3 linked regions of the Mus musculus genome follow. The protein of the gene in region 2 interacts with the protein of the main gene of each other region in a pairwise test. Links are inferred from orthologs where the notes say so. Each region holds a gene or a part of one and is shown on either strand. Other genes may lie near its edges.

Region 1 (3,652 bases), about 2.8 Mb from region 2:
ATCTTTACCTGCTCACACTACTTATACCTGTGGATGGTTACCAAAGCACCTAAGTTTTATACAACTAATTCCATGCTTGTCGGATGAATCAGTCACTCTGCTACTGTCAGTAAACTGTTTCCCAGGTTGAGTTCTCTTTAGCCAGACTGCTTGCAGTAAGAAATGCTTCAGATCTGTTCACTGACCTGGAACTACTACATGTAGAATTTACTGTCTGAGCACCCACAGTCAGAAAATCTGAAATGTTTGTCAGGTTGTTGCTTTTTTTTTTTTTAAATTATAAAATCACTTTTTTAAAAGTCTATAACGTGAGTTCCAGGACAGCCAGGGCTATACAGAGAAACCCTGTCTTGAAAAACCAAAAAAAAAAAAAAAAAAAAAAAAAAAAAAAAATTAAAAGTCTATAACGAAGCTGGGCGGTGGTGGCCACGCCTTTAATCCCAGCACTCGGGAGGCAGAGGCAGGCAGATTTCTGAGTTTGAGGCCAGCCTGGTCTACAAAGTGAGTTCCAGGACAGCCAGGGCTATACAGAGAAACCCTGTCTCGAAAAAATCAACCAAAAAATAAAAAGTCTGTAAAGAATTCATTTAAGACTGGGGGTGTAGCTCAGTGGCCTTGCCTAGTATTCATGAGATCTTTGGATCAATGCCCACCCAATATCAACTGCCACAGCAAAAAAAGGGACCAGATTAATAAAATTCTCATTAAAAAACATTTTTATTATTTTTATAGATTTATTTTATGTTTGTGTGTATGCGTGATTGTCTAAATGTATGAATGTGTACAATGTCTGTCTACAAATGGTTGAAAGGCATCATGTAGGTGCTAGAACTGAACCTAGGTCCTCCATAAGAATAATAATTATTATTTACTGCTTTACTCCACCCCATTACTGAAAACTTCACCAGAGCTGGAGAGATGTGTCAGTGGTTAAGAGCACTTACTGCTCTTCTATAGAGAACCCAGCACCCACAGGGCAGTTCACAGCCATCTATAAGTCTAGTTCCAGGTATCCTTTTCCTGGCCTTCACATGTACCAAGAGCACATGCGGTACAAGATACACATGTAGACAAGATACCCATAGGCATAAAATTAAATTAAAATAAATTTAGAAAACAACAAAAAACAACTTTTGAGCCAGGCAGTGGTGGCTCATGTCTTTAATTCCAGCGACTCAGGAGGCAGGGGGCAGATGGATCTCTGTGAGTTCGAGGCCAGCCTGGTTTACAGAGCTAGTTCCAGGACAGCCAGGCAACACAAAGAAACCCTGTCTCCAAAAATAAAAATGAAATAATAATAATAATAATCAGGTCTTGTCTAGTAATTCTTTAAAATCTATCCCTGTTACTTATAATGACTGAACTTCAAACATTCCAAGAACTGAGTCTCCACGCATTGAATTTTACTTTGTAGCTAAATATTGACTTTGTAACTAAATGAACTGTCAAATCCAATAAGTATTTAATGAAGAACTTAGAGCACTCTGCAACTTCGCATAAGAATGGAACTTACAGGCATTGCATGTGAAGCCAAGAGCGGCACTGTGCTGATCAGCAAAGTGCTTGCACCTGCAGCGAATAGGCTGGGTACCATTCAGAGGGACATAGTGGTAAGCCTTGCACCGGCAACCACTCACTCGGCACGGCAGGGCAATGGGACGCTGCTGTGGGATCGTTTCAAAGTCAGTTTTGTGCTGTTTATACCTTTAGAAAATAGAAACACAAACACATTTGGATGTTGTCAAACATTACAATTTGGTGTCTATTAGATGCATACGTAATTATTTTGATTCTGTTTTTATCTCTTGTTATCTATTTATATTAATATGGTAAGTAAACCCCTACATGGACACTTCTAACAGCTTTAGTCAGGAGCCTTCACGTTTTCAGATTTTAATTTTTGATTATTTAAAAAGTTTCACAACTGTATGAAGAAATATAAATCCCTTAAAATCCTTGCCATTGCAGTTCTTTAGTCTGGGATGCATATCCTCAGTAGAAGAGAATGTTCCTAATTTTATAGGGACTGTGCTGGAAATCAAACCTAAGACATCATGTTTGTTCCACTACTAAAATATAACCAGCCACACAAAACAGCTCTTTATAGCAGGTTTCTACTGAGTCGGGTGCAGTGGTATACACGTACGACCTCAGCACTCAGAAAGCAGAGGCAGGAGAATCATGAGTTTGAAGCCAGCCTGGGCTATTCAGCAAAACCCTGTCAAAATATTAAGGTGCGAGGGAAGTGGCAAGTCAGGGAAGGGGTCTGCCGCCAAATCCAATGACCTTATTTTGAAACCTAAAATCTACATGGTGGGAGGAGTGAACCACTCCCCTTAAGTGGTCCTGTGCACATCCACACTGTGGCAGAGCAGGCCTGTGTCACCTATCTCTCTATCTCATACACACGCACTATAAAATCATATAAAATTATACAGCTTAGTGATAGATCACTTGCCTACTGTGTATAAGACAGTGAGTACCCTAGCACACCAAGAAAGCTAAAAGGGCCTGTGAGATGTGCCAGTGGATAAAGGCACTTGCTGCCGAGCCTAATGCCCTGAGTTTAATCCCTGGATCCACTGACCCCCATGCATGCACATACACATAAGTAAAGAAATAATGAATGAACAGATAAATAAATGCAAGATTTTTACAAAGAATGGTCTTCATTAAAGTGCATCACTTAAATTTATTTTTATCCTTTGCTATCTAAACCTAAAATAAGTTTAATATAACTTTAATGTAATTTACTTATTTCAAGAAACTCTAAAACTTTCATCCTTTAACCCTAGAATTCATTTTGGAAAATACACTCTTAAAAAATAATTCTACATATATATAGATTAGGGTTTGACTTTAAGGTGGTGTTATCAATAGTAAATGCACTAGCAGAATGCATAAATCCATTTCTAGAGAGCCATCTTCACATTTTTTTAAGCAACAAAGCCCTCTGTTTAGATAAAAGCCTTTACCAAATCACAATACTATATATGTGATAATTTAGAAGTTGAGTCGGTTAGGCCCGGGAAGGACAGGAATTGGAATCCCCATTTGTGTAACCTGCCTTTCTGCCTGGCACATGCCTGAGTCTCGCTCATGGCTTCGAGAACAACAGTGAACACCACTGGACTAGCTGGAACACAGAGCAATTATAAAACCTGCCTTCAGATTACTAATGGCTATGCACATACACATTTTCTGTGACTCAATCATGAAAAAAACAGTGCTTATAATTTATACATGCACAGAATATGAAACTAAATAAACAAGGCAAAGAGGAAATTACACAGATAAAATGAAAAGTACGGACAGGCTCTGGGTGGTCAGCGTCCGGCTACCATTCTGTATACTCCCCATTTTTTATAAACAGAAAGACACACATTGGATAGGAATTTTATTAAGTGATGAATACTACAGAGTAATGTCTTCATTGCAGTTGGGTTGAATCTTGAGGATCATATTCAGGCTGTACAAATTCCACACAGAAACTGACATTAAATGTTCACAAGCACAGATTATAAGACTACCACAGGTTTGCCCGTGCCCTACAGTTTTGACAGATATAAACATGTAGCCATCACCCTCCACTCCTCCCTGGTGTCTTTAGTCAGGGTTTCTAGGTAAGCTGAGAGGCAATCTATACACATTA
Region 2 (3,752 bases):
CTACCCTAGAGTGAGCATGCTCCTGGGTCTCTAAGAGTTGGCAGATGGCCTGCAGCTCAGGCTCGGCCCTCACGCCAGTCAGCCACGTCTGCTGGCGTCAACAATCTCCTTTGCCTTCTACTCCTTAAACTCCAGTAGCAGAGTTGCCCCGATTTTGCAGGGCTACCAAGAGCAAAGCGACAGAGAAGGAGAGAGGGCAGAGAAGAGAGTGGACACCCGGCCTTTCCCAGAGAGCTGGGTTCGTAGCCCCCCCCACCCCCACCCCCACCCCCGAATCCCGGGACCCTGGGGTCGAATTACAGAAGCTCCCATTGCCATGCTATTGGCCGGCAGGAATCAGGGAAGAGGGCTCTAAGACCCTTTGGATGAGGACAGAAGTTTCTTTTCTTGCTTTGGTCCCCAGCACATTCACCATGGTTCCTCCCAGTCAATCCTCTGCGCACGTCCCTCTACATTCCGAGGCTGGCGAGCCAGTGACGCAACCTCGCCCTAGGCGCCGGGATTCCGGGCTCAGGTCTCTTGCAGGGGTTGGGTAGTGGCGGCCGCCCCGAGCTGAGGGCGTGGTGTCTGTTGGATTCCCACCCTTCCCACCCCGCGTGCTCCCAGCTCCGCCAGGGTCCTTGCGACCACGCAGAGATTTTCGGCCCACAAGATGCCCGCCACAAGAGAGCCAGGAGGCCTCATCCCCTCTCACCTCTTGCCAGTTCAGCTTTCTGGGCTGGGTGGGGAAGGGGCCGCGGAGGGGGCCTCCCATCCCCCCACATCTGGTGGCGGAGGCGCGCAAAGCCGGGCGCGCGCAGAAGGCAGTCTCGACTCCCTTTGGTCCCAGTGCTCCAAGTCAGCTCCGGGAGCGGCCGCTGCTACCGCCGCGGCCCGGGCTGCCTGGGGGGGCGAGCGCGCGTCACCTACACTGAGGAGCGCCGGGGATTTAAATGCCACTGAAACGGTGATCCATCACGGCCGCAGCCGGTAAACTTTCGCAGGCGGCTCAGCCATTGGCTGGTAGAGTCACGTGTCCTCCCCTCGAGCCCTCCGCCTGCCCGCCCCGCCTCTTGCGCACTGTACATTCATATCATTTTTCTTCTCTGGTCCTATGGAGGAAGTGAGAAAGTTGGCACGGTCACCCAGGGCTTCGCAGGATCCAATCACTCAGTGACAGATGGACAATGCAAGAATGAACTCCTTTCTGGAATACCCCATCCTTGGCAGTGGCGACTCTGGGACCTGCTCGGCGCGAGCTTACCCCTCTGACCATGGGATTACAACTTTCCAATCCTGCGCGGTCAGTGCCAACAGCTGCGGCGGCGACGACCGCTTCCTAGTGGGCAGGGGGGTGCAGATCAGCTCGCCCCACCACCACCACCACCACCACCACCATCACCACCCCCAGACGGCTACTTACCAGACTTCTGGAAACCTTGGGATTTCTTATTCCCACTCGAGTTGTGGTCCAAGCTATGGCGCGCAGAACTTCAGTGCGCCTTATGGCCCCTATGGATTAAATCAGGAAGCAGACGTAAGTGGTGGGTACCCCCCGTGCGCTCCCGCTGTTTACTCTGGAAACCTCTCGACTCCCATGGTCCAGCATCACCACCACCACCAGGGTTATGCTGGGGGCACAGTGGGCTCGCCCCAGTACATTCACCACTCATATGGACAAGAGCAGCAGACTCTGGCCCTGGCCACGTATAATAACTCCTTATCCCCTCTCCACGCCAGCCACCAAGAAGCCTGTCGTTCCCCTGCTTCAGAGACGTCTTCTCCAGCGCAGACCTTTGACTGGATGAAAGTTAAAAGAAACCCTCCCAAAACAGGTAAGTCCTGCCGGCTGACAGACAAATGCTGTTCGATTTTTGAAAGGGGCTGGCACACCTAGTTTCCTAGGAAAATGAATGATTTTTAAAAGATTGGTTCTTGTTTATGTCTAATGTCATCTAGAGTTGTAGTGAGTGGTGTAGGGTGCCCAGGTGTGCAGAGGCAAAAGCGTTTCACAGGGGCTGAGGTTTAAATGGTCTATAGTTAGATAGTGTGCGGGGAGTGGGAGGTGGTGATGGTGGTGATGGTGGTGATGGTGATGTCCTGTTAATATCTACAAGGCTCCATTAATCACGAGCCTGATCACACTAATGGTTGACTTCAGGTTAACACTGCTTACACATCGTCACTGGCGCTTCCCGATAGGGTTTGTGCTCGCTGAGTAGTTAACCGAATATTGCCTCAAGCTTGGGGCAATCTGGATAAAGGTTTAAGATTTTTTTTTTAATCTTTTCTCTCTTCCTCCCCTACCCTAGGGAAAGTTGGAGAGTACGGCTACGTGGGTCAACCCAACGCAGTGCGCACCAATTTCACCACCAAGCAGCTCACAGAGCTGGAGAAGGAGTTCCACTTCAACAAGTACCTTACACGAGCGCGCAGGGTGGAGATTGCCGCGTCCCTACAGCTCAATGAGACCCAGGTGAAGATCTGGTTCCAGAATCGCCGCATGAAGCAGAAGAAGCGTGAGAAGGAGGGGCTCCTGCCCATCTCCCCTGCCACTCCTCCTGGCAGCGATGAGAAAACGGAAGAATCATCTGAGAAATCTAGCCCCTCGCCCAGTGCCCCTTCTCCGGCATCGTCTACCTCAGACACTCTGACTACCTCCCACTGAGGCTACTCCAGCCCAACTCTGCAGCCCAGGCTTCTCCCTGGGCTGGGATTTCTTACCCAAAGCACATTCTTAGCTTATCTTCCTTTCTTTACAGACTCTCTCTTCCTTTCTCGTCCCATCTGGGGAGCTCCTGGCCAAGATAAGGTATTTCCAGAGAATTCTGGAGCCTTGGTTGGAAGTTAACTCCTTCATCCACATCGGGTGTCCACATCAATTGCTGATGGCTCCCAACATCCTTTCCTTCACTGTTGTGAGATTTTTTTCTCCCCACAACCTATGATTCCTTTTAGATGTCGGCTGGAGAACAGTTAGTTCCCTTTGCCATCAGACATTTGCAGGAAGGAGGCATCTCTCCTTTTATCTATGTATTGTTCTTCTCCACCTAGCCCTTAAGTAGGACATAGAGGAGAGAGAGTGTCCAAAGACTCATGAAGAAGAGATGCACTGTGTTTACACAATTAATTCACCCCCTAACTTAGCTGGTTTCATGTGTGTGAGTTTGCTGGTTGTAAATGCTTTCCCGTCAGAGATTTATCTTTATACACATTTTATAGAAATATGTAGGTCACTAAATCAAACAGGGTGGACAAATTCTCAAAACTGGTACAGTTCATGTGTGATTATGGGCGAAAGAAGAAAACCTCTTTCATTCAAACAGAGTCAGATGCCTCAGAAGTTGGCCTCAATTGGTTCTTTCAGAGTTAAGAAGGCCTGCCAAGCACTTTGCCTGTGCCAGGTCTTCCCAAACTCTAACCAATTCTTCCTGCTTCTCTGGCCACCCTGCATTTAAAAATCATGCTGGATCATTTGTAACCCAAAGGTATTCATTCTTTCAGTCACCCTTTCCTTCCACACTGTCTTGTATCATGGCTGGATCCAGTGTATTTCCAGCTAATTGTTAATGTGATGGATGGCACAATGAATGTATATTTTGTGTGATTCGTGACTAGTCTTCTGCATGTCGCACAATGTTCTGATGTCCCTGAAATATCACACTGAGTTCTATCAGTTATTCTTTGTGAGCCTATGATAGTCTCCATTTACTGTACAATCATGAACAGCTCTGAGATCCTGGAGTGATGTGGTCCAGAGCAGAGTTTACGGG
Region 3 (3,652 bases), on a different chromosome or scaffold from region 2:
TTTCTCTCGCATCTTTTATAGAAGTACATAGGCTGGAAGCATGGTGGTGGGGATAAGACGTGACTATGCTACCTCTTAGAAGCATTCAAATGAAACCTTTCAGAGATACGCGCACACCAGTGCCAAAGGAAAAAAATTTCGATTTTATAGGAAAGAGCTAAAGCCATTACTTTTATGAAGCTTTATAAATGTCATTCAAACACACCATCTTATTTTCATTTGCTGGTGAAGCCTTTACTTATGCAAATCATGACAAATGTTAAGGAAGGCAGCGTTTCCTCGGAATGCTAATAGAATTGCAAAGGAGGGAGGGAGAAGTACTTCTGAAGGAAAAATCTATACTGTAGCTCTTTGAGTCAGATAAAAATGAAGCTTCCAGAAAACCTCATTAATTAGGGTTCTGCTCATTTAGATATTGTGAGGAAAAGCAAAGAGACAGGCATGCATTTCCCTCTCTTTCATAGGGGGGCAAATTAATCGCATAAGGACAGATTTAGGGGAAGGCTATTCCTTGACTGACTGTATAAAACATTCTGCCTTCAGGCATCTTATGATACTTTGTGATTATTAATTTTATTTATCAATTTACTCCTTCAGTCCTTAATTTAGACATTCGCCCATACATTCATTTGTTTGGTTACATTTTTACTCATGTTTCCGTTCAATAACCGTTAAGAGGCTGCTGTGTGCAAACTGCTTCGGTAAGCACCACAGGAGAGAGAAAGATGAATTAGGCAAGAATTTTGTTTGCAAGGAGGTCATAGTGGGAGAGAGATGAGAAGACCCAGGAGGGTAAGGTGGCGGACTGACGACACGCCTCGATCTCTCTATCTGTCCCCAATCCTCCCTCACATCTAGAGATGACAGATGATTCATTAAAAAAATTAACAGCTACTGAGTGCCCTTCGTGAGTAAGACATTTCTGCAGGATTCTAAAGGCTGAGAAGGCAGATGGAATCAGATTAAAAGCAAAATCCATAGTCGAGAGCATGGAATGGAAAACATAGCAACAGGTCTGAGGCTTCGGGGCTCTGGAGAGAGAAGGTCCCTGTGGCAACTGCCACACAGGCTGAGAGGCTGGCAGAGGAACAGCTAGCAGAGCAGCCAGGCAGGCTCTCTCATCGCACTTCCTTGGCATGGAAGTGTCCAACTTCTGTGGGGGTGGGGGTTGGGGGGTGGGGGTTTGGGGGGGATCGGGGGGTGGGGAAGCATGACCAGGAGAATAGCCCCACTCTGCAGAACTGCTACTGATAGCACAACCCCACTTCCTTCCTATTCTCCAACATTGTTAGAAGGGACAGCCAAACCCTCAAACATCTGACCAGATTGCTAAAGTGCAATTAACCCGATCCAATGGCCTTGAGTGCTCAGACCACTCAGAGCATGGGTGGAGACAACCCAAGAGTACATAAAAGCTGGGCTTAGTGGAGCAGAAACTTAGGGGCGACTCAAAATGAGGCTGATTGAGAGAGAAGTGGACAGGAGAGAAGGAGGAGAGAGGAAGAGGGAGCGAGAGGGCAAGAGGGGAAGGGAAGGGTAAAGGAGAAGGGAGAGGAGAGGAGGAGATGGGAGGGAGGAGAGAGGAAGAAGGAAGAGGAGGGGCATGGGAAGGGAAGGGGAAGAGAAAAGAGAGGAGGGAGGGAAGGAGAGGGAAGGGTGATAACTTTCTAGCTTCTGTGGACATCAGATTTGACAGATATGTTTCTTCTAGGTGTGTCTTAGAGGTCTTTCAAGGCTTCCCCCTCTCGGTGCCATATATCTCCCTTCTTCTAAACCCTAAATGAATAGTCCTGGACTTTTTTTTTTTTTTTTTTTTTTTTTTTTTTTTTTACTTTTAAAGAACCTCGAAATCTTATTTGATTGCAAAGAACACCTCCACAGTTATATAGTACGATAGCTCTTGCCTGTCCCAGTATTCTCAATGTCATTACAATGGCACTCATGAGTGTGCCGTCACTGGGAATTCAGATAAGCATCAGCTCTCCATCACAACAACCATAGTTTGTTCCTTTGCTTCATGGAGCCAACCTGACCTGCTCCGTGTCTTTTTTTTTTTTTTTTTAACTACCAGAGAAACCAAAAGTAGTTTTAGTATAAATATGTTTTAAATATTACATGGGATATTCTTGTACTACAAGCTTCAATTGTCCTCTGTGAGAAATGCTGATTTAATTGGCTGCTGTGCATCTTTGCTAGATTTCACACCTTGTCGTCTTCACAGGGAGCATTGTTCCTTTGGAATTCCCCCACTGCAATTATTTCTTACTCTTCTCATACAATGACTGCGAGTCCCTGACTGTGGTGGAAGGAGGGGTTATGCTTGGTCATACTCTGAACTTCTGTATCCTAATGCAAAGTTTTGAGTTCAGCAGAACCTATGATCCCTGGACCCAGAGATGAGAGACACTGTCATTGGCTGAGAGTTAACCAGCTTTCTGGGCTTAGAGGCAGAATTCTCGGCGGTCTCTGCTGATCTAGGAAGCCTCGTTAAGCCAAATCCTGATTCTATGAAGGCATTCCCATCTGATAAAGCTGGTAAAGGTTCTTGACAAGCCTGAGGCCCTCAGATCGAACCTCTAACATCTGTCTGTGTACTATGGCATGCATGTGTGAGTACATGTGTGGGCATGTGTGCATATGTGGGATTCTCCAGTAAAATTAATAGGAAAAACGTTTAGCCTAAGAAGTCAATGTACACAGTACCTTGCAGATGTCACTCCACTGCCCGGGACCATTATCATTGATGGCTCTAACCTTGAACAAATACTCAGTGTTGGGGGTCAGGTTGTGTAGCTCCAGGTTCTGCTGCAGGATGTCGCGAATTTGTCCACAGAGCTCTGTGCGCACATTATTAGGAGGGGTGGTAACGAGCTCATAGAATTCCATCTCAAAGGAGTCCACGTCTTCTGTTGGGCACGTCCAGTAAACCTAGGAGAAGTGGGGGTATGAGCATGGCACCAACACACACTGCTCTGTCCTTCCCCTAGGATTTGTGCGGTAGCCCGTCTGTGGGCTGTGCTTAAGCTGACCCATTCTTCTACGGCTGCTGAGAGCTGTAGAATTTGTAGACGATTGTAGATTTTGCACACTCAAAATGCCATGGAGTCTATGTGGAGGTCAGAGGACAACTTGCTGGCATCTGTTTTCTTTTCCTACTATGTGGATCCTTGGAATAGGACCCAAGTTGTTAGGTTTGGTGGTAAGTGCCACCATGTTGATGACCCTGAACTTTAAAAAAAAATTGTATTTTAAAAGCATATTTCTACTGCCCTTATTATATTTTTTTTGCTAAAGTCAAATGCCATAAGGCACAGTTAATGTATAATTTCACGTGTACTAGCTTTTATAAATGAAATCACATAGCATAATGAAGTTATTCTGATTTGATCATTCTTTCTGATGATCAAAACAAGAAGAACATTTATGGTAACATGCTTTGGAAATACAGAAGTATAAGGGAAGAAAATAAACATCTCCCCTAATCCACACATTGATTCCTGTAAGTCTTTCTCCTGCCGGGGGAGATGCAAGCACACTCATGCAGGGATTGGGATTGCAAGGCTCTGCTTTATTCTCTTAACTTACAGTTCATCTGTCTTATACAGTCAAAAAAACTGCCCATAGAGGCCAGCAAGATGGCTCAGAGAGTAAA

The links. The genes of interacting proteins can lie anywhere in the genome.
Region 1: the proteins of Hoxa1 (region 2) and Fam221a interact in binary tests that used the Homo sapiens proteins (3 or more experiments, as listed by UniProt). The link is inferred for Mus musculus from reciprocal best matches to the Homo sapiens genes HOXA1 and FAM221A.
Region 3: the proteins of Hoxa1 (region 2) and Trim42 interact in binary tests that used the Homo sapiens proteins (3 or more experiments, as listed by UniProt). The two-hybrid records come from large-scale screens. The link is inferred for Mus musculus from reciprocal best matches to the Homo sapiens genes HOXA1 and TRIM42.

What each region holds. Positions count from the first base shown.
Region 1 is NC_000072.6:49,374,156-49,377,807, reverse strand, and holds part of Fam221a (protein FAM221A), read right to left. Parts: intron 1,705-3,652; coding exon 1,514-1,704; intron 1-1,513.
Region 2 is NC_000072.6:52,155,629-52,159,380, reverse strand, and holds the start of Hoxa1 (homeobox protein Hox-A1), read left to right. Parts: upstream 1-1,063; 5' UTR 1,064-1,159; coding exon 1,160-1,814; intron 1,815-2,291; coding exon 2,292-2,647; 3' UTR 2,648-3,752. UniProt on the Homo sapiens protein: Sequence-specific transcription factor. Regulates multiple developmental processes including brainstem, inner and outer ear, abducens nerve and cardiovascular development and morphogenesis as well as cognition and behavior.
Region 3 is NC_000075.6:97,356,390-97,360,041, forward strand, and holds part of Trim42 (tripartite motif-containing protein 42), read right to left. Parts: intron 2,929-3,652; coding exon 2,704-2,928; intron 1-2,703.